Alligator mississippiensis: one gene and its partners. The protein of the gene in region 1 interacts with the protein of each later gene in a biochemical or structural test. Links are inferred from orthologs where the notes say so. Each region holds a gene or a part of one and is shown in the gene's direction. Other genes may lie near its edges. The genes, in order: SIAH2, EGLN3 and DLST.

Region 1 (6,906 bases):
TGCCTCCCTGCAAGTGCGGGCCAAGTAGGTATGCTCTGCCTTGGTAGCTACTCCTTTTCCTTTCAGTGCATTCAAATTGAACAGGGCTCTTTAGGGAAAAGATTCTTATTGACACAGTCAGGTACACAACTAATATTCTGGGTTCTGTCTACCTATTAACTTAAAAAAAAATCCTCTTATGGACCTTACCCTAGGACATTGCTACAAAACGTGGTATAAAATACAAGCTTTTATCACTAGGTATGATTAACTGTACATGATTTAATTAGTTACTGATATGCTAAAAAATAGTTGTAAAATTCTACATTTTCATTAGAAATGCATGACTCATGATTTTTTCCTCCTGTTTTTCCCTTTAACCCATAAATACTTTGCATGACTTCACAGGGCACAAAAGGACTCTGCAAATGTGACAGAAAAATAATGAACTCCCAACACTTGAAATTACTGTCACTTTCCCTTAAATGAAAGTTCTGCCCAGATAGAAACTTAATTAAGAATCTTGCTAGTGCTTAGAATCAAGGATGAGTCATGCAACTGCACATACCAGAGGAACCTTGCTAATTATATCATTGCACTGAAGTGCTGAGAAAAGACTGAACAGCATGTATCTGATACAGAAGCAAGTACAGACAGCCTCTAGAGTCTAGTTGCAGCAACTGATGGAAAACTAGTCTAAGTAAAACACCTTCATTGTGCTGGCAAGGTAATTTTCCAGTTATACTTCATGACTAACTGGTAGTTCTGATGGGTCACGCTGGACATGGGGTTTTCCACAACCCTTAATCGAAATGATTCAATCTTTAACCTCTGCATGTGGAAGGCTATGAGGACATCAATGCCTGATGAACATCGAATTGACATAAATAAGCATACTCAAGTAGGGCACTTTCCCCACTACAAGGAAATATCTTCCTACTTTTTTGCTGCATTTCGTTAACATTGAAAGAAAAGCTGTGAGATTTTTCTTCCAAAAGCAAAGGTTCTCCACCTGTGTAATGCTGTTAAGACAGAAAAGCCTTCAACCACATTAAATTTGATTTTCAAACTTCACTTAGCTTGGACAATGAAAGCAGCCTAATCAATTCCACTTGCTCAGTCTCATACACTAACACACCACCACAGTTTTCACATGTGGTGCAAACCCTACAGGAAAGGGGGGGAAACCAACCCAAGCCACCAACCCCAGCAATTTTTATCGCCAACTCTACAGGAGACCTTGGCCATTCGCTGGGGATATGTTCTGGAGATCCCCGCAAATGGCGAAATCCATGAATACTGACGAGGCTCCCTGTCGGACCCCACAGCCACCCCCTGCTCCCCCCCACATTGTTCACGGGGCTCCCCCGCAGTGCCTGGGGACCAACCCCTTCCCCCCGAGCACTGCCGTGGCTGCTCTGCACAGCAGCAGTGGCAGAAAAGATGCCACCATCGCCACCTCCCTCCCTGTCCCCGGGGCTCCCCCACAGCACCTGGAGACCGACCCCTTCTCCGCCCAAGTGCCATCACGGCTGACTCCAGGAGAGAACATGCCACTGCTACCACCACCACCACTACCTCCTCCTTCCAAACCCTTGGCGCTTGTTCTCTGCCCGCCTCCCAGCTCTGCCCTCCCCCGTGAATATTTGAATAGTGAAGTTCGCGAATAGCGAGGGTTTCCTGTATATAGATGTTATGAAACTAACTTTGAAACAATATGGAGATGCAGGCCCATGTCCTGCAAGGGTATCAAACTCATGGGTTTAGACCCAAAGTTTATCTTTGCCCACGATTACAACACAACTATACTTACTTGCTCTGGGTTGCTCCCTCAACCAACATATTCTTCTTCATTCACACATACTGGTAGTTTTTGCAATATCTACCGCTGCGCACTGCTGTTGAATAGTTTGTTCCTACAAACTGTTCAACTTAAGCCTCCAAAGACACAGATAAAAACGACAACAATGCACACTGCCAATGTCCTTTACCAATGGCCTCGAATGTTCCATCCCTTCTGAATGCTCATAACAGCTGACATTATGAAGCCATTTGCATTCTGCTATACTGCACTGAATACTTTTTTCCCAACCTGCCAGAAACAACAGCTATTGAGCACAAGCCCTGTTGGTTCTCAGCTGATGTACTACACAACCAACAAGCCTGCAGAATGGGAAGATTTTAAGGTGGCTCTTCTTTCTCTAACCCAGTGGTTCTCATCCAGGGTGTTGCACTGTGGCTGCAGCCAGGTAAGACTACCCTGGTGCACACTCCTGCTGCTTTCTGATCAGCCTAAAGTAGGCAGGAGCTAGCTCATCTTAGCCTTTCCTGGGCAGGCCCCTCCTACACTCCCCCAAGAGACAGGGGTTTACAGGACAGTTCCACTAAAGTACCCGTTTCTGGCAGGAGCAGGGGAAGGGGCAGGTGAACCAGGAAGGGCTACACAGCATGAGGTGGCTCCTGCCTGCTTTAGGCTGATCAAAAGTCCTACTGCATGAGGAATATGTATACATGCCACAGCTCTTCCTGGGCTGGCTGATAAGCAGGTGCCTGACAGTTTTATCACAGGCAGCAATACCCAGTCAAGTCAAGAAACACTGAAGTGAAGTGAGGAAGCACCAACAGTTCTCAATAGGAGATGCTGCCAATTCATAGAAGTGGTGGAGGGGGAGCCCTGATCCTGAAAAGATTGAGAGCCACTGCTCTAAGCTGTACTTCATCAACGACTGGCCTGAAATTAGTGTAGCTGCATTGGTCAAATTAGACAGCGGTAAGCATGTGTTTGCAGCTGCTGAAATAATGAGATCAGGGCTTTAACTGATGAACATAGCAATCATGACACAATCTAGAAATATCAGCAAAAGTCCATTTCTGAAAATAAATCAGGAGCATTTAATCTTTCTAAGCGCTGCTATTAAGTGCTTGTAGGTCTTCACCAGAAGTTGTAGGAAAATAGTAGTTTATAGGTCTGAGCACACTCAGAAGTCACTACAGGGTCCTTTTGGCCCACTGTCATGAAAGACAAGGCTTCCTTTGAAAGAATATTATGCAGCACAGAGCACATGGGGCTGGTTCAGCAACAGAGCTCATTGGCTCATAAGCTGAATCCAGCGTTGGGGCCTTATGTTTGGCACCCCGGTATAAACCAAATGCTGACCAATATCATTACAGTTTTCTTTAAATGCAGACTGGGTGATATTAGTGTCCATGGTTCGTGTGTGCTTGCTGGTCGGACAGAGTCCGAAAGAAGGAAAAGGATCAAAATCCCAGCCGGCATCCTACTTCCCCTGCAGAAAGACCCGCAACTTCTGTGGACCGATCTGTGGCTCGAGGACTGGACTGAAGTCACCTCAAGACCCATCAATGAGCCACGGTAGAGATCATCCTTGAAAGGAGAGACAATTGACAGCGACGGCGATCGGGAAGAACGAGGCGCAGTCCAGCTTCCTCCTTACGTTTAGACCAAAAAAAAAATCAAACTAGCCAGAGAATACTGACTTTCTCGTGCTTTCACCCGAACTCTACAAACGCATCAGATAAAGTCAACAATCTCCACTCACTGCCTCCCGGGACGGGGGAGGGAGCCGGGCAGGGCCAAAGGAAGAGGGCAAATCCTGCGTCCGTGCCGGGGCCCTGGCTGGATGCCCCATCCGGCCTGAATGGGCGGGAGGCGGGCCGTGGAGCGGGCGGGCGGGAGGCGGACGCCCGGATGAGGTGCGCGGCTGCGCAGGGCTCCAGGCACCCGGGGCCAGGCACTGCTGCCCGCACGCCCGGCGCCGCCTCCCGCCGGCCACGTTGGTCCGGGGCGGCGCCAGGGAGGTCCCCGCGCACGTCAGTGCCCGCCCCGCCCCGCCCCGGCCGCCCGCCCGCGGCGCCGCCCCCGCTCCCCGCTCCCCGCGCGGCGCGGCCTGGCCGGGGCATGCTCAGTAGCCGGCGGGAGCCGCGGGCGCGGGGGAGGCGGCGCTGACGCGGCGGCCCCCTCGTCTCTCCCGCGCCGGGCCGGTGCTGCGGGAGGCCGAGCGCCGCCCGGGGCCCGACCCCCGACCCGGGGTGGCGCTGCGTGGCGCGCCCGCTGCCCGCACGTCCATGGTTTGCTCGGACCGCGATGAGCCGCCCGTCCTCCGCCGGACCCAGCGCTAGCAAAGCCTGCGGCAAGCAGCAGCAGCACGCGCCGTCCCCGGCTGCTGCCCCCGCCGCCGCCGCCACCATCTCGGCCGCCGGCCCCGGCTCGTCTGCGGTGCCCGCCGCGGCCGCGGTGATTGCAGGGCCCGGAGGCGGCGGCGGCGGCGGGGGGCCGGTGTCGCCTCAGCACCACGAGCTGACTTCGCTGTTCGAGTGCCCCGTGTGCTTCGACTATGTGCTGCCCCCCATCCTGCAGTGCCAGGCGGGGCACCTGGTGTGCAACCAATGCCGACAGAAACTGAGCTGCTGCCCCACGTGCAGGGGGTCCCTGACCCCGAGCATCAGGAACCTGGCCATGGAGAAAGTGGCCTCGGCGGTTCTCTTCCCTTGCAAGGTAAGAGCGCCCGGCCCGCGCCTCCCGCTGCAGCACCGCGCCCCAAGGGGCCCCGGCTCCTTGCCCTGCCCTGCCCTGCCCGCCCCGCCCGGCCTCGCCGTGGTTGCAGACTTGCCGAGGCGCGAGCAAGGAGTTTCACTTCCCCTTTCCAGGCTGTAGTGAGCGGAAACATCCTCCACCCCGTCCCAGCCGGGTCACCGGGGGCTCCTGGACCTTGGCCAGGCGCGTGTGTGGCTTCTGTGCAAATACCAGCCCCCCTCGGTCCGCGGAAGCCAAGAAGCTCCTCATTTCTCCTGGAGCGAGTGGGTCCCAAGGACAACACAGTGGGGTGCTTCCCCCCTCCCACCTGGGCAGCAGAGTGCGGCCTGTTGCGGGGAGCACAGTTCCTCCCCGGGGAGAAGGGGTAGGGAGCAGGAAAAGAAACAGGCCGAAGAAGCAGGAACGTGCATCTCCTTGAGCAGGTCTCAAAAGATCTCCCTGCTTTGCCTCTTTGCAGACATGTTCACAGCTTAGTACAGCAGTCTTGCCCTAAGCCTGTTTCACAGCTGTGTCACAAGCTGACATTATGTCTAATTCTGTAATTCAGGCATTTAAGAGGGAGTTGACTGTTGAATCATTGCACGAGCACTGGATTTCTAAAAATGATATTGCATAAGTGGGTAGAGCCCCATTTCATGGTCTGACCTATTCTACAGCATTGTTTTTTGGGCTGGGCCTTGTTTTTGTAGGGCAAATTCCATTCTCTAAGTAACTGTGAAGGAGGAGCTGTGGTTTACCCAACTTGGTATTTTAGCTTGGTCACTAAAGAGGTTGTGAAGATTTTAAAAATATCGCACTCTTACTGACCACTTTTGGCCTATTTAACATTATTATATAGAGAGAAGTGTCATGATTAGTTTACTTACATCTGTGCATCTAGTCAGTTTCACTCCCCCCCCCTTCTAATTCCTGTGGGTTCTTCACACAGGAAAAAGGGGGCCAGAAAAACGCACTGAAAAAGGAAGTGTAACAGAGCTGCAGTTTGAGGGGTACTTGCTTCTTAAACTGACCTTATTTCATGGTATCCTGTAAAGTAAAGGTTTAATCCCTGCTCCTGCCATGGCAAACCACAAAGCATATTTACAAAGTAAGGTTAAACTTAAGTTCAAGGAAAGATAAAACTCTTAAGAGATTTTTTTTTTTTTTATTTCAGTAAGAGAGCATATTGTAAAGATCTATTTAAAAGATCTCTTTAGTGAAATATGCATTCATGACATATCCAACAGATTCTAGCTACACCTATCAGAGCTTTGATTTTCCAGACAAGTCCAGGTCCTACAGTTACTGTGCTAGCATGGGCTTCATGTCAAGTGAGATTCCCAGGGAACTAGCACACATGTCACTTATGTATCTACTTTCAGGATTGGGACAGGAGATCACATAACAAAAGCAACAGACTTTGTGCCATTGTGAGGAGGATTTGATAGCCTGCCCCAGAGGCTGGACTAAAGTTGAGTGAAAAACGTATTTTCCTTCTGGCTCAGAAAAAGTGACAGGAGGCCCTACTGCCCTCTTCATTTCCACCATCTGTGCCTTTGTGCACGTGTCCCAGGCTTTCCAGCTAGCAGCATTTTTGCTCGTTCTGTTACTTTCCAGGCTGAGGCTTGTCCTTGAAATTCCAGCCTTTTTTGTATTTTCAGAATAGTGGCTTTCATGCCCTACCTATATCAATGTTTGTACTTTAAGTTGTAAGGTCACATGACACTGCCACAGCCAGCAACAAAACTCCAGCAGTAACATCTGCCTGTCGTGCATTACAGTTGAAAGTGTTCTTTGTTTTAAGGATCTGTTTTAATTGCTTTATTCTAACATAACTTGGCACTGTAGTTCCAACAAGGATTTGACATTTTACGGTGTATAAATATGCACATGGGTGCATGTACATGCATGCCCCTATAATTGCGTCTCATTTTCTAAAGCTTGTTCACCACAAACAGGACATTTCCTAAATTTGGAATAAAATCTAACAAGTCTAAACAAAACGTATTTCCTGTATCAACTCTGTCCTCGTTCTCCTCACCCCCAAGGCCTGGGTGCTCTTTTAGGCAAGGACCTGGGAAGCAAGGTACATAAATAGGATTCCTTCCTTCAGCATCAGCAGGAAGTCAACCATACGTCTCCAAGTCACATTTCAGCTCTGTGCACAGCTTGGTGTAGAACCCAAGGTGGAATCGCTGATGACAGGGTCTGGACAGAGTATCTGCAGAACATTAAGATTTTATAGCATAAAAAAAAAAAAATTGCTTTTTGAGCACAAAATATTTTTCAGGGCTGAGGTCCTGTGAGTGACTTGGAAAAAAGACTGCTAGCCATTAAGCCGGATCTTATCAGCTAGGAAAGGAATGATGCAGAACAAGGTGTGTGACACTTCA
Region 2 (7,976 bases), on another chromosome or scaffold:
AACACTTGTTCACAGCTATAAGTAGATCCAAAGACAGACTGCTAGGCAAAAGCTACATTTCTCATGCAGGCATACTTTTCAGGAAAGGAAGACCAACATGCTGTAATCATGAGTTGACAGTCCCTTTCATTCTCAAGTTCACCTTGCAGCAATTTGAACTTCGATACCCAGATGCATGAGCTTTGAAAGTCAATCAGTTCCAATTCAAATCCTTCAGTGTTCATCCACTGAAAGTACTTCAGTTCTATATATATGTGACAGGGGGCCTCCTGGGGCCGAACTCTGTGGCCTGCCTGCCTGCCTGTCACCGTGACAGGAGGCCTACTCAGGGCCGAGCTCTTCGTGGCCCACCCACCTGTCTCTGGGCAACCGCCCGCTTATCTCTCCCGCCACGCCTTTGATGATAATTGATTCATATATCCATGTCAATTAAGCAGGAGGCTGCCCATTGTAGTGCCCCGATGCCGGGGCGCTCTGTGGCTCCGACCTCCCCTAATACTGCAGCCCAAGCCTCGCAGATGGCATCATGGTGTTACTATAATCACTGGCCCCATACTGGGCCCCAGAATCATCCTAACAGGACCCCTCTCTGATCCTCTCCTATCAGGCAGCCACTCCGCCGTCATCCATAGATTCATAGATTCATAGATGTTAGGGTCGGAAGGGACCTCAATAGATCATCAAGTCCGACCCCCTGCATAAGCAGGAAAGAGTGCTGGGTCTAGACGACCCCAGCTAGATACTCGTCTAACCTCCTCTTGAAGACCCCCAGGGTAGGGGAGAGCACCACCTCCCTTGGGAACCCGTTCCAGACCTTGGCCACTCGAACTGTGAAGAAGTTCTTCCTTATGTCCAGTCTAAATCTGCTCTCTACTAGCTTGTGGCCATTGTTTCTTGTAACCCCCGGGGGCGCCTTGGTGAATAAATCCTCACCAATTCCCTTCTGTGCCCCCGTGATGAACTTATAGGCAGCTACAAGGTCGCCTCTCAACCTTCTCTTGCGGAGGCTGAAAAGGTCCAGTTTCTCTAGTCTCTCCTCGTAGGGCTTGGTCTGCAGGCCCTTGACCATACGAGTTGCCCTTCGCTGTACCCTCTCCAGGTTATCCGCATCCTTCTTGAAGTGTGGCGCCCAGAATTGCACGCAGTACTCCAACTGCGGTCTGACCAACGCCCTATAGAGGGGAAGTATCACCTCCCTGGACCTATTTGTCATGCATCTGCTGATGCACGATAAAGTGCCATTGGCTTTTCTGATGGCTTCGTCACACTGCCGGCTCATGTTCATCTTGGAGTCCACTAGGACTCCAAGATCCCTTTCCACTTCCGTGCCACCCAGCAGGTCATTCCCTAGGCTGTAGGTGTGCTGGGCATTTTTCCTCCCTAGGTGCAGCACTTTGCATTTCTCCTTGTTGAACTGCATCCCGTTGTTTTCTGCCCACTTGTCCAACCTATCTAGGTCTGCCTGCAGCTGTTCCCTGCCCTCCGGCGTGTCCACTTCTCCCCATAGCTTTGTGTCATCTGCAAACTTGGACAGAGTACATTTCACTCCCACGTCCAAGTCGCTGATGAAGCCCATCCGGGCTACCTTGTCCCCCCTGAAGCCTTGTTCCCCTCTCGGGTGTGGTTCCCCCGGAACCTTTGGCTAGCTGACCCTGGCCCACCTCCAGGCCAGTCGGGATCCCAGGCCCCCAGCTCTTGGGCATCCCTCGCGGTGGGCCCCCGGCCCTTTGACTACCGTAGTCCTGGCCCCAGCTTGGGCCAGTCGAGGGTACTCTCCCCTTTGGGCTGGGTCTCTCTAGCCGCTCACTCTGTCACTGGGCCTCACCGTGCCACTACTCCGTCTTCTCGGGGGCAACCGCAGCACCACGCCCACATCACTCCCACTCTCGGGGTCCGCCCTCTCCGGGCCCCTCACAACACTGGCCCATCTGGGCCCTCCAACAAACACATGGGTAACCCACCCGGTGGTGGTGGGAGCTAGGGGTTAAGGCGCCCCGACCCGCCTTTCACCGGGGTAATAACTGGCCTGGCATTTCCTGGGGGCTCCCATGCCACTGAGAGCCCCACCAGGCCACCCACTCCTGGCAGGGTGCAGTTTCAGGTCATGCCCAGGACCAGGAGCCTCCTGCCAACCCCTTGCAGCTCCCCCCTTACCTCCAGGTCGTTCACAGCAGCCCTTCAGCCAGGCGATGTTGCTGCCTGCCTCCTGCAGCCAAACTGCCTTGTTTATATAAGCAGCCTAAGCCTCAAAATGGCTGCCCTAATTAGGCACCTGGAGGCTGCCGGCTCCAGGCCCTTAAAGTGGCAGAGACACCCTGTGCTCTGCCACATATATATATCACTTTCCCTTGTACTGTCTGGGTTCACAAGAAATGAAAACATGGGTCCTCTGTTGCAAGTCTTGGAATAGTCATGTGAACTCATCTTCCAGATGTCCTATGTAGCTGCATATATCCCTATCATTCAGTTGATGCTGCTCAGAATGGATTTTCAGACTGGGGAAGTAACGGAAGGCAGATGGTTCGATATCTCATCTGAAAACAGGCAACTTATTACAGAAAGCTTTCCAGTCTTCAGACAGCTGAAGGATGGTTTTCTGTGTTCCTTGTAACCTAGTATTCAAATCATTTAAATGTGATGTGATATCTGTCAAAAACATCAGTTTTGTTAGTCATCTGTCATCAGTAAGGTCTGCATATTGCTGACCACTTTCCTCAAGAATCAGCTTGAAGGATTTGAGACAGCAACAAATCACTTGAGCATGTTGCCTTGACTCAACCAGTGTATATTACTGTGCAGCACTAAATCTCCATATGCAGAATCCATATCATTTAAAAGTTCACACAAATCTCCTGTGTGTCAGAGAGCAGCAGGCAATCAAAAAGCTGACAATTTTCACAACTGTTGTCATGATTTCATTGAAATCGGAAGATGAGATCTTACTGCACAGGCTCTCCTGATGAATAATACAATGGAAACTCATAAGAGGACATCCAATCTCAGTTTCCAGAAGCTTTACAAATCCAGCTGTTTTACCCACCATAGCAGGTGCGCCATCAGTGATAACAGGGAACACTTTGTGCAGGTCAATTTGTTGCTGTGTGAAATATCTTTGACAGCATTAAGTATATCTTTGTTGAGTGCTATGCATAGCACTCAAAGAAAACAATTCCTCGTGAACTTCCCCAGAGATAAAATATTGAACAATTATAGCAAGACGTGGGGGGGATACCTGTTATGTCTGTGTTTTCATCCAGTGCAAGGCTCATCACATCACAAGCATGGAGGTCTCGAGTCATTTGTTCCCTAACGTTAGTTTCCATTTCATCTATTCGCCTTTGAACAGTCCTGGATGACGATGGAATTTCATCAATACGAGCAATCATGTCCATCTTATTCGCAAAAATCCTGAAATAGATCCTCAGCACATTTTAAGAAAGAATCCTTTAAGTATTCTCCATCTGTAAAACTCTTGCCTTGCTGAGCTATATTTAGAGCTGCAATGTAACTTGCCTGTGTGGAGAAAGTATTTCTAGTTGCACAACTAGAAAAGCTGGCTGTCTGCTTTTTAAACGAATCAACGCTTTTCTAACGGATTCATGTTCGTCTGCTTCATTGACTCCAGAAGATTTGGCTTTGTGCTTGGTTGCAAAATGGCGCAGGACACTGGAAGCATGAGATACCACACTTCCGCTGTACAGACTACAAATACAATCCCCTTGCTGCACAAAACCATACAATTCTCTCCAAGCCAGATGAAACTTTTGAATATCTAACTTTGGTTTGTGTGAACTTCAGGAAATTTTACAGTTGGAAGGCACATAGATACATAACCATGGAAGGCAAAAAAAAAACCCAACAAAGGCAGCACAAACATTGTAAACAGAAAGCAGGAAAATCAGAAAGAATTGAATAATTTGAACGGTGTGTAAATCTGGGTAAGTATTTCCAAGACGACAAGCAGAGTAGCAGAAAAGCACACAAAGAAGTGAGCAATATGAAGTGTTTAAATCTAGGAATGCAAAGTAGAGAGAGCAAAATAACTGAACAGGAACTGTTTCAATAAAGTAAAAAACCTGAAAAACATGAACTGGTTTAAGAGAACGACAAACTGAATAAGAAATTACTTAAAAGAGCAACATACGCTGAATAATATGAACTGTTCTGAGTGAGCAAAAGCTGAATATGAATCGATTTAACAGAGCAAAATAAACTGATTAATGTGGAAAGGGCAACAGCTGAACATGAACTGGTTAATATGGAGAGAGCAAAAGCTGAACAGGAATCGATTTAACAGAGCAAAGTAAACTGAAGGGTACAAACTAGTTAGAGAGAGAGCAAAAGCTGAATCTGAAATAATTTTACAAACCAAAATAAACTAAATAATACCCGACCTTCAAATCTTAGCAGGAATCGCCACCAAGGGGCGTAGCCCGGAGGCACGTGCTGGCCTCATGCAGCAGCGGCGGAGGAGCAGAGCCGAGCCGAGCCGAGCCGCGCCGGTCCCTGCCCCCCGGCCGCGAGCAGCACCGCGGGCACGGCCAGGCGCGCGGCTGCACGTGCCCTCTGGGCGGAGGCGACAGGGTTGTGATGCCCCCGCCATGCCATGCCCTGCCCTGCCCCGCGGCGCGCCTGCCGTTGCCTCCAGCACGGAGCTGATGCCGGGCCCTGGGCTGCTCGGCTCGCTGCGGGTGCCCAGAGCCCGGGCGGGCTGCGATCAGCCGCGCCGACCCCGGGGGGGGGGGGGGTACAGCCACCCCAACATCTGCTTCCAGTGGAGGGCCGGGCTCCGCCCTCCCCGCGCAGCCGAGCCCCGAGGCTGAGGAGCCGGGGAGCCCGGCCCACTGCGAGCCCGGCCCCCGGAAGGGGCTGGCGCCCACGCCTCTGCGGGTTCTAGTTCGCGGGGGCCCGCCCGGGAGCAGGTTAGTGCCGGGCGGGCGCAGCCGGGCAGATGGCGGGAGGGGCGGGCGCTGCGCCGCCTCAGGGCTCTTCCCCGCCGCCCGCTCCGTGCAGACTGCGGCAGCCCGGGCCACGCGCGCCTCGGGGAGGGCGGCCGGGGCGGGGGCGGGGCCGGAGGCGGCATCGGTCCGGCGGCTCCGCGGCCGCCCGCGTGCCGGGCAAGATGGCCTCGCGTGCCCTGCTGTGGCACGCGTGCCGGGGGCTGCCCATCCCCGACCTGGAGAAGATCGCCTTGGACTACATCGTGCCCTGCCTGCACGACATCGGCTTCTGCTACCTGGACAATTTCCTGGGCGAGGTGGTGGGGGACTGCGTGCTGGAGCGCGTGAAGCAGATGCACTACAGCGGGGAGCTGCAGGATGGGCAGCTGGCCGGCCAGAGACACGGCATCGCCAGGCGGCACTTGAGGGGAGACCAGATCAAGTGGATCGGAGGCACGGAGGAAGGGTGCGAGGCCATCAACTTCCTCCTGTCCCTGATAGACAGGCTGGTGATGTATTGTGGCACCAGGCTGGGCAACTACTATGTCAAGGAGAGGTCCAAGGTAAGAGACTTGCTGTGGTTGAATTTGGGGTCGTTTCCTAAGGGCTTCATGTCTGTACGGGTTCTACCACCGAGTTGCACGTTCCTGATATCCTAACACCTGGCACCTCTCAACTCCCCAAACTGCTCCCAGGACTTGGCATCAATTTACCTTTTACTCATCTGTTTAAAAGACATAGCAGGTGACAGTGCTTACTGCAGCAAAAAAGGCTTCATTTGCCTTTGAAGCATAGTTTATGTATCTGCTGCCAGATGCAGGAGTAGAGTATGTTATTGTTTATAAACAGTTCCTGGATCCTTCGCTTAACCCAGCAGCACAGAAGTCGGGGCAAATTGAGAAGCATGTTCCAAGTTAAGCTGTAGAGAGGAATGAATGGAGATTTTTTTTAAAGTTGTAAAGTAAAGGACACTCAACAGCTGTTACTGTTCTCTTCCTCCCCAATGTCGTGTCTTTTGGGCAGTGGTGTTTAGAAGATGATCGGAAGACAGGCTCCCAGGCTGCTCATATTGTTTATAAAGAAGTGATGAGGTTAATCCTAAACTTATGCATGTGTGTACCCACAGAGACCACTTCACAGCTGAGTAAATAAACAAATGTACATAGTAATTAATTAACTAATTCCTAGTGAGAAGTGACTTGAGCCTGGATGAAGGCAGACAAGGATCTTTGGGTAAATCTGATATATTTTATTAGACCAGCTCAAATAGTTGGAAAAATTCTTCTTTGTGCTTGGGGGTCATAAGCTGAATGAATACTTTCCCCAATTTGATCCAAAGGGGAAGCTGTATTCACTTACAAGTTTATGGTGGTCATTTAAGATAAAGTCGACTAATAATGTATTTCTTCTAATACTTCCACTGGAAGGGCTGGCAAAATGCAGGTAAATGCTGACGAACTAATCATAATAGACTAAAGTACTCTGGTATGAGCTGCTTGTTTATTTTAACCCTTTGTCCGCAGCTGGCTATCACAGGTGTTTTTTAGCAGTTTGGTAAAGGTGAGTAGAAAGAGGGAGTTACCAATGTCCACTTGTGCTTGTCCACTGTTAAAACATGTTTGGTTTTGTTTGCAACATTTCATTCATATGGTAGTATTAATCCAGTGAGCTTCAGTCTCCATCCTCATGTCAACTATTTCAGAACTAAAGAATATTGTAATAGCTGTTAGCCTTGCCGTTAGAAGTATGAAAAGAAAGATACTTTGCTCTTGTTTAAGGGCATGCCAGAATTTCTTTGTGAAGAATGTGTTAAAAAGTTGCTACTTGAAATTCATTTCCCAGTCAATTTATCTGACCTTTAGTTCAGTCAGTTGGAAAATGTTGCTTTTATCCTCTGCACCTGTATGGAAATGACATTACCCTCTGTTACTAATTGTTGAAAAATTCCCCATAGTTCTTATCCGATTTTCATGGTTGGCAAACAATCTGAATTATACGTTCTCTTCTAGGTTTCCATTTATGTTTCCTCTTTCTGTGATGTAACTGTTAGAGCACTGAAAGTTGCATGATTCTTAAAATACCAGGCAAGAGCTTTGGGGCAGTTGCACTTCAAATTTTATTCTAATCTCAGTGTTTTCCTCCAGGTTTTAGGAAAGGGGATAGAGGAGGGATGGAAAGACCTTGAACAGTTAGCAGGGTATGTAAAGAGAACTTTTATGAATCCTTATTAATTGTTTCTTTTGGCATTATCTTAAACTAACCGGGGCATGTGGGAGTGGGGAATGATGATGTTTCTCAGCAGTGAGGGAGAGGGAATGAAATATTAGCTGTGGTGGGACTTAGCTGTTTCTCAGGTTTTTGGGAATATCCTGAAAAGTTGGCAAATACTAGTCAAGAGACCAGCCCTGTTAGTCTCAAATCAAGTAGAAGTCAATAGTTGTTGAATCATTAACCCTATATTGAGCGAATCATTCCTTTAAGCTGAAGAGCTGGATGGATTTGGGACACAGTGCGTGAGCCATCTTGTAGTGTCAGTTATTGTACATATTCCCAAGTGCCTGCCTCGCTAGTATGGGTAGGTATGGTGGTACCTTGTTGGCCACTAGGAGGAAGAAAAAGGGGATTTGCACTAAAGCAAGAGACAGACACCCACAGGGGAGATTGTCATCACATTCACCTAACTGCATACAAGGAGAACACCTACATTAGATGTAGCTTGTTGCATTGATCTGGAACAGACTTCTGGGACTTACCTTGGGCTGTGGAAGGTTGGGGGGGGGTTAAACCAAACTGTGGTATTCCTACAGCCTTCAATGTTTGAGAGTTATACTTGTTGTTATAATAACACATGTTAACAATAATAGCTGACTCTAGATTTTTCTTCATCTAGTAAAATTATCACATTTTACAAGTGGCTATGGAAATATTGCTATGAACAGATTTCTGTAGCTGTGTAGTGGTAACTGAACACTTGTGTGTGGAAGGTGACAGACTTCAAAGTAGCAGTGCAAAGAAAAGCTACACACTAGTATGGGG
Region 3 (7,695 bases), on another chromosome or scaffold:
CCCGACTTCTAGATTTCCCAGTTTCCAGTGAACAGCCAGAGCAGGCCTGGTGCCCCACAGAGACGGCAAGGTTCTTTGGGTAGATGTGATATCTTTTATTAGACCAACTCAGTAGATGGGGAAAAGTTCTTTGCAAGCTTTTGGGTGCAATCACCCCTCTTCAGGCATAGGAAGTCTCTGCTGTTCTGAGACTCCAGGGAATGTTTCTTTCATTCCTTGGAGTTTCAGAACAGCAGAGACTTCCTCTGCTTGAAGAATAGCAATTGTGCCTGAAAGCTTGCAAAGAACTTTTTCCCCTCAGCTACTCAGTTGGTCTAATAAAAGATATCACATCTACCCAAAGAGCCTTGCCTGCCTATGTCCTTAGACCAACCCGGCTACAACCAAAAACCCAGCCACAAAGACGGTGCACTTACCTTAGCTACAGCAGGAATGCAGCTGTCCGCAGAGTACCTTGTGTTCCCAGGGTTTTTTGGAGAGAAAGTGCTGAGTGGGAAGGGGCACTGAAGCAGTCACGCTGGCATTGAAGACTCTATCTGAGCTCAGTCCCTACTAGAATGGGGTGGGGAAGCCAGTAGCAGCCAACCAGCTTCAAGGTACTTCTGAATATGCAGATGGAGAAGGGTCAGGTTCAGTAATAGGGATCAGGGCACCTTCCATTCTGCTGCTGGGATGCTCAGATACACAGACCACTCAACAAGCTCAGAGGGTCTGTAAATGGCAACACTGCTAACCACGCAGGGTTGTGTGTACCGATAGAATAATTTTGCGTATAACCTTCTGGGTTCTATCTTGTTGCACATCAGGAGAGAAGTTTTTGGGGGGAGGAATAATTTTCATATTCCATGTCAAATTAGCCAAATCAGTTCCAAATCCTCTTGACTGAGCAACTCTCAATCATTTGAACACTATATGTGGTGCTACAACTGACAAGTATCCTCCACCCCCGACTTTTCAGCCTCGGGCTTCAGATACTCCTAAATCCATTGATGGGCATCCTATGTACAGGCCCAAGCCCAGAAGCTTGGGGTTTGGATGCCACAGAGTCCCACTTGTCCTTAACCAAATAGCACAGAAGCAAGCTAGAGAGGAGTCCCCCATTTCCATAAAGTAGGTGTGCAGCCAAGATCCTCCCACTGGAAGCTGGCCAGCAGGAATCTATTTACAAGACTCTTGTAGGGCATCCTGTCCACAGTGCATTGAACAGGCATGCACCCTCCATTACACAATGCCATTTAAATCCATGTTGGTTTGGGTAACTAACCAGTGCAGCGACTACACTTGATCTTAGCCCACAAGAGGTTGAGAAGCAATCAGGAGAGAGATGCGTTGGCTGGGATGTGTTAGGGGTGGTGAGGATTGGAACAGCAGGACGTAAGGCAGAACTGACTTGTAGGAGACTGTGAAGCTGGGCAGGGGAAGTGAGTTAATGCCAAATGGTAAAGGACCGCAGTTACTGTAAAGCAGGGCCCAGTAGCACTTTGTTCTATTCAGGACTTGGAATCTGAACCTAGTCTGGAAATGTACTGTCCCACCATCCATGATGGATCCACCAGTGCTAGAAGCAAGTAGGGCCTCTTTGCAGCTAGTAAAAATGGTGCTGGAAGGGGAAGCTGAAGGATACAGACATTGTAGACAGCCCCAAAGCAGTGGTTTTCAAACAGAGGGGCTCAGTTTAATAAGAGTCACAATTTTGTTTGAGCCCCCCTCCACCCCAACCCAGACAAAAACAGACATGCAAAATATGCTTTCATAAACTTAACAAACACAACTTAACTTACTTAATTAAATTACCTACACCTGTAGGTTTCTAGTTCACAGATTGAAATTGATATTCACAGATATTATACTTAACGACTTTAGCCGTTTCAGCTTCTGCCTTCCGTTTCGTAACAGTATCTTTTGGCAATAAGTACCGATCCAGTTTCACCTCAATAGTATGAAAATATCGAACTCACCGGCAGAATAAGTTGCACTGCAAAATGCTTGTTGTGATTTTTTTGTCTTGTAAGAGTAGATATGATAGGTGTACTAAACTGGAAGGTGGGAAATGTTGCTATGGAAATGATCACTGGTTTAATTAAATGCATTGTAACACCTGTGAAATCAGTTGCAAAAAGTTCACTCATACTATTTCAGTGTGTGATGTTGTCAAATATAATACTAATAATGATGATAATAATTTTTAAAAGTAAAATATGCCTTGCACATGGTGCCCCCCACATTCCTTTGCGCCCCCCCTCCCCGCCCCCAGACAGCATGCCCCCCAGTTTAAAAACCGCCGCCTTAAGGAACACAGCATAGGTTACCAGTGGTTTCTAATGTGTTGATGATGAAGGTTTCTTTTCTTCACTGCAGCTAGATCTTTGAGGTGTATGTGCAGTATTGCTAACTCTCATGATTTTTGCCAGTGTTCTTAAAGTATATGCTTTGGGAATGTGAAGAACTTAGCTTTCTTTTATATATAAAAGCTCTTTCTTTTATATATGTGTGTGTGTGTATATATATATATATATATATATATACACACACATACACACACACACACACAATATATATATATATATATATATATATATATATATATAATATAAAAGAAGGAGCTAAGTTTTTCACATTCCCATAGCGTAGACTTTAAGAATGACAAAAATCATGAGAGGTGGCAACACTGTATGACACACCTAGAAAAGGAACATCATCTAAATAATAATACTTAGTATTGTATGTTTTCAGATGTAAACTCTAGCCATTAGAGTAGGGGCGGGCAATTATTTTGGGCGGAGGGACACTTACTGAGTTTTGGCAAGCCATCGAGGGCTGCATGTCAGGCAGCCAGGGGCAGATAAATATTAATTTTCTAAATTTTTTAGGGGCCCTGCGGGCTGGATAGAACGACCTGGCAGGCCATATCTGGCCCGTGGGCCGCATTTTGCCCACCCCTGCATTAGAGCCAGCTGTTCAGCATAGCTGATAGGTAAGTGTTCTCCCCTCAGCACTGGACAAGTCCCTAATATATAAACTGTGAGAAATAATCTGCCTGACCAGAGGAACAGACTCCAAAGAGTAACCCAAGTCTCTCACATATCTCATTCAAAAAAGCCTGTTGGATTTGTTACCTGCTACCTGCTGAACAGTTTGAACAAGGAGCCAGACAAAATACAATGGCTCATGCAGTTTTATTTGAGCTCAACTGAATTAAATCTCTCAGTAAAACTCTTATCTCATTCATTTGTATCCAGGTACTTTACAATTGCTATGATATGCATTCTTCCTACTAGGCAGCAGTCTTCGATTCAAGGCAGCTGGTTTCTATTTGTTGTGCTCAAGGAGAGCAGCATACTAGAGATGCACTGCTCCAAAAGCTGTATCAGTTCCATTTGTTTTTATTCCTTTTTAGTTCTTTTTTACACACCAAACAGGTTTCAAAGGTTCCACCTCCTCCTTTTGCTTTCTTCTCCCTTTCCTGTACTCCTTCCTCGAGGAAATTCTTTACAAAACGACATTAAGTTAGTAGTGCCATTACACCATTGAGCACTTAAAAAAAGTAGGAAATGCTCAAGATAACGCAGCACCCAGTTCTAACTCTTGTTCCCTTCTGCAGATGCCTAATTCTAATACAGCCCTTTATGATGTGAACAGAGGCTCTGTCTCAACTCATGCAACATCATGTACACTGAAAGCAACAGGGCATCTCACAGCGTAGCCTGCACAGGAGCACAGCATTCAGCCAGAGCCATGGTCAGGTGAGAGAATCCCACCCTTCCCTCTGCATAAAGGTGGGAGCTTGCTGCACATTTCTTTTCCCTCTGCAGCTGTGTGGAGGGCCTGCCCTGTGGCCTGGTGGCGTCCCAGTGTCCGTCACAGCCACGCTGGAACTCCAGCCTCATGGCGGGAACATCGCTGGGGTGAGCTAGCCCTAGGGCAGTGTTGGCAGGTGGGAGCCAAGCGTTGCTAGCTCCCTGGAGGCAGCCTGCTGGGGGAACCCAGGCACTAGTGCTCTAGGGAGGGGCGTGGGACCCCCAGTCTCTGGCTACAGCCCCAGATCTGGGAGCCAGGACTCAGGGGCCTCCTGTCCACTGGGAAGCCAGGGCACAGCCTGGCTAGGGAGTGCAGCCTCCTGCCCTGTGCTGCCAGATCTCCACATCACCTCTGCTGGTGTCTGCACTGCCACCACTGCTGCCAGGCCCATCCCTGCTCACCCTGGGCTCCCCAGCTCCCGTGGGCAGCATCAAGCTCCTCAAGTCAGGTGCCCATGGGCTAATTCACAACCTGCCCCTGCCCTGCATGGCTGAAGGTTGCCTGGGGCAGGGACCGGCAGCCAGTACCAAGACGCCTGGCGGGGGAGAGGGAGCGCAAGCCAGATAACATCAAGGCCCCCCTGTCCTGCTCAGAGTGGTCCAGTCCTCAGCAGGCCCACCGGGGCTCGCAGCCGCCCTTCAAGGTGGTTGAGTCCTCTTTCTCCTCCTCCCGGTGGTTTTGTCCCGTCAGGACGTTTCGGTTTCTCACCCTCCCCCATGTTTGGTACGACCCTCCCGGCTCCCCCTGCGCTGAAGGGTGCTTGGTTCGGTCCGCTCCGTTTCCGGCCTGCCCGGGGCCTGTTTCCGGTGTTCGCCTTCACGTCGCCGCCGCCGCCGCGATGTTGCCGCTGCTGTCCCGGTCCCGCTGTCTGAGCCGGGCGCTCAATGCCCTGCGGCAGGTACGGGCGGGACGAGCCGAGCCGAGCCAAGCCACGCCACGGCACGGCACGGCACGGCACGGCATAGTCCTGTCAAGGGCACTGGGGTGGGGGCGGTGCCGCCACCAGAGACCCTCGGGTGGGCGGGAGGGACACAGCGCCCCGCCCCACCTCGCAAGGGCTCCTGCCGCCCTGGCACGTAGCGCTTCCCCGTAGCGGGGGGCAGGAGGGCCGGGACTGGGACTGGGCCTGAGGACGGGAGGAGCCGCCCGGGCGGCCGGGGCCGGGTCGGGGTCCTGAGGCCTGGTCGCGGCCTCGCCGCACCTGTGTTGGTAGCCGGCAGCGGGTCGGGTTGTCCGCCGGGTCCGTGTTCAGCACAACGCGGCTGCGCTGGGCACTGGCGCGACACGAGGAGCCGCAGCGCGCGCTCGGGCGTTGGACCGGCCTCGGCTTGTGCGGCCTGGCCCGGCACCGGGTTGGAAGAACAGGCGGGAGCTAGAAGGGGCCGGAGGCAGCGGAGCCGGGTGGGCAGGGGAAGCTCCTGCTGCACCTCCGCCCAGAAAAAAGTTGTGTTTAAAGTTTTCCCGGCCTGGAGCAGTGCAAAGGCTAGTTCTCGTTGTACTGGACTCACTCCCTGCTGCACTGCCAGCTGCGCTGGCAGCTGCTGGAGCAGCAGCATCCTGTTTCTCAAGATTTTTAGAGCTAGTTGATCTTGACCTGTCAATTACTTGGTGCCCACAGCTTGGCAAAGGGGCTGTTTTACTGTCTGCTCATCTCCCAACATTTTTTTTCCAATTCAAAACGAGCTAGTCCTTGAATTGACTTTGCTTGGGAACGAAAGCATTCTCTGCACCTGCAGAAGCAGCTCTTGCTGTCAAACTGGTTTATTTAACAGACTCCACCTCCACCTGCTTCAGCAGTGATTTCCACCCAGTCCTTGGTTTCTTGGTGCAACTTCAGTAGTCGCCATGTGCTATTCAGATGTTTTAAGCAACTTAAATTCTTTTAATAGATAAACATAAGTGTAGGCCTTAATATGTGGGTGGTCACAACTTGCAAAATTAATTTCAGACAGGCTTATATTTTAAAAATATTAAAATCAAAGAGTTTCTTAAGTATCTTTTTATTGGTATGCACCCTTCAGAGTGGTGGGTAGGACCCCAGGTAGAGAAGTGAAAACCAGAAGAACAAGCATAAAGTATTTTTACTGTACATAAAATGAGACTGTAAGTCAGTTGATTACATGCAGGGAGATGCATTGGGCTAGGAAGATAATTTTGGTTGTCATGTTGAATATAACAGAATGGGAAGAGACAGGCAGGTAGGGAGTTCAAGGAGAGGTGGTCACAGATAGGGTGACCATGATAATTTTATGGACAGGGTAAGGAAGTCTGGGATAGGGGGTGTAACCCCCCCCCCCCCACTTCAGCCTCAAGGCTCCCAGGAGCAGGGCTGGGCAGGATGGTGTGGAAGCCCACCTTTGGCCTTTATCCCCTTCTTGCAGAGGCTGGACCCAGCTGGGGGCACCCCCTGGGCTCCATAAGCCCATGCTGCGCAGCTGCACAATGCCTCCCAGCAGGCTGGGGCTGCAATCCCAGGACAGAGCCCAGAGCCATCCCCCCGCCCCCCAAACATGGGTCCCCAGCAGCCGGGAGGGCAGAGGGACCCCTCAGAAGCCCCCGCCTTCACCTGGAAGGCTGCTCCCTAGTCCTGAATCCATTGAGCTGCAAGCCATGAGTCTTTTGCCAAGTAGAGTCGGTCAGAAGCTGGGCACATGCGGGTGGGTTCACACCAGTCTGGGAGTTTTGCTTCAGTTTTCTCTAGAGAGCCCAGCCAGTGAGCTGCTCCGTAGTCTGAACTCTGCTGGGCTGTGAGCAGTCTTTTGCTCAATCAATAATCAATCAGGAGCTGGGCACATGCAAGCAGGTTCCTGCCAATCTAGGACTTTCACTTCAATTTTCTCCAACCCAGGACAACCTATGAAATCTGGGACTGTCCCAACCAATCCAGGATGTATGGTAACCCTAGTCATAGAGGTCTAGACAAGAGAATTGGAACATGGATGATGAGTTTTGAGAGTGGGGAAGAAGTATGATAAGTGAGGATATTTCTGGAGGTGGTTGAGAAAGAAATACCGGGATGTGAAAACAGGTCAAGCATGTGAACTTCAGAGTTGTGGCTTTGGGCAGCTGGGAGGGTAGCAAAGTCAGCAGGAATGGAGAAAGGGGGAAGCTTGGGTTTTGACACTCGCATGGTCAAGAGGTAGCGGGGCAGGCGCTACGAAGATTGGCTAAAGGGCCTGAACCTATTCAGCCTCCACAGGAGAAGGCTGAGGGGGGATCTGGTGGCTGTTTACAAACTCACCAGGGGGGACCAGTGGAAACTGGGGGAGGCTCTGTTCCCCCAGGCACTACTGGGGGTTACTAGGAATAACAGCCACAAATTGCTAGAGCAAATTGTTCAGGCTGGACATCAGGAGACATTACTTTACAGTTAGGGCTGCCAGGATCTGGAATGGACTCCCAGGTGAGGTAGTGCTCTGTCCTACCTTGGAGGTCTTCAAGAGGAGGCTGGACAGATATTTGGCTGGGGTGATGTGATCCTGGCACCCGTTCCTGCCCAGGGCAGGGGTTTGGACCTGATGATCTGTTTAGGTCCCTTCCAACCCTAAATACTATGATACTATGATGCTATGACATATATGAAGAAGAGAATTAAAACTCAAGAACTCTGTCCTGGAGGAAGAGAGTTGTGAGTCATCAAACTAGGAATCATGGGAGAGCATCAGTGGTGAGTGTGTGGGCAGAAGAGGACAGGACTGACATTTGCGATTTGGACTAGGAGAGGCAACCACTGAGGAAGTGGTTGCACAGGTAGGACTTCAGAAGTCTGCAGACAAGATGCTCTTCAAAAGGGGCATGTAGTTGACAGCAGGAGGATGACAGTGAGGCCTTTGGATTTCACTAGGCAGGGAAAAGTTAATGTATAATTTGTTTAGTGAGTGGAAGCAATCAAAGGGA

The links.
Region 2: the proteins of SIAH2 (region 1) and EGLN3 form a complex in vitro, tested with the Homo sapiens proteins (2 studies listed by BioGRID). The link is inferred for Alligator mississippiensis from reciprocal best matches to the Homo sapiens genes SIAH2 and EGLN3.
Region 3: the proteins of SIAH2 (region 1) and DLST form a complex in vitro, tested with the Homo sapiens proteins (2 studies listed by BioGRID, with this or other methods). The link is inferred for Alligator mississippiensis from reciprocal best matches to the Homo sapiens genes SIAH2 and DLST.

What each region holds. Positions count from the first base shown.
Region 1 is NC_081830.1:62,023,541-62,030,446, reverse strand, and holds the start of SIAH2 (E3 ubiquitin-protein ligase SIAH2), read left to right. Parts: upstream 1-3,885; 5' UTR 3,886-4,084; coding exon 4,085-4,495; intron 4,496-6,906. UniProt on the Homo sapiens protein: E3 ubiquitin-protein ligase that mediates ubiquitination and subsequent proteasomal degradation of target proteins.
Region 2 is NC_081825.1:255,771,383-255,779,358, reverse strand, and holds the start of EGLN3 (prolyl hydroxylase EGLN3), read left to right. Parts: upstream 1-4,906; 5' UTR 4,907-4,951; coding exon 4,952-5,503; intron 5,504-7,976. UniProt on the Homo sapiens protein: Prolyl hydroxylase that mediates hydroxylation of proline residues in target proteins, such as PKM, TELO2, ATF4 and HIF1A. Target proteins are preferentially recognized via a LXXLAP motif.
Region 3 is NC_081825.1:261,152,257-261,159,951, forward strand, and holds the start of DLST (dihydrolipoyllysine-residue succinyltransferase component of 2-oxoglutarate dehydrogenase complex, mitochondrial), read left to right. Parts: upstream 1-4,613; 5' UTR 4,614-4,636; coding exon 4,637-4,696; intron 4,697-7,695. UniProt on the Homo sapiens protein: Dihydrolipoamide succinyltransferase (E2) component of the 2-oxoglutarate dehydrogenase complex. The 2-oxoglutarate dehydrogenase complex catalyzes the overall conversion of 2-oxoglutarate to succinyl-CoA and CO(2).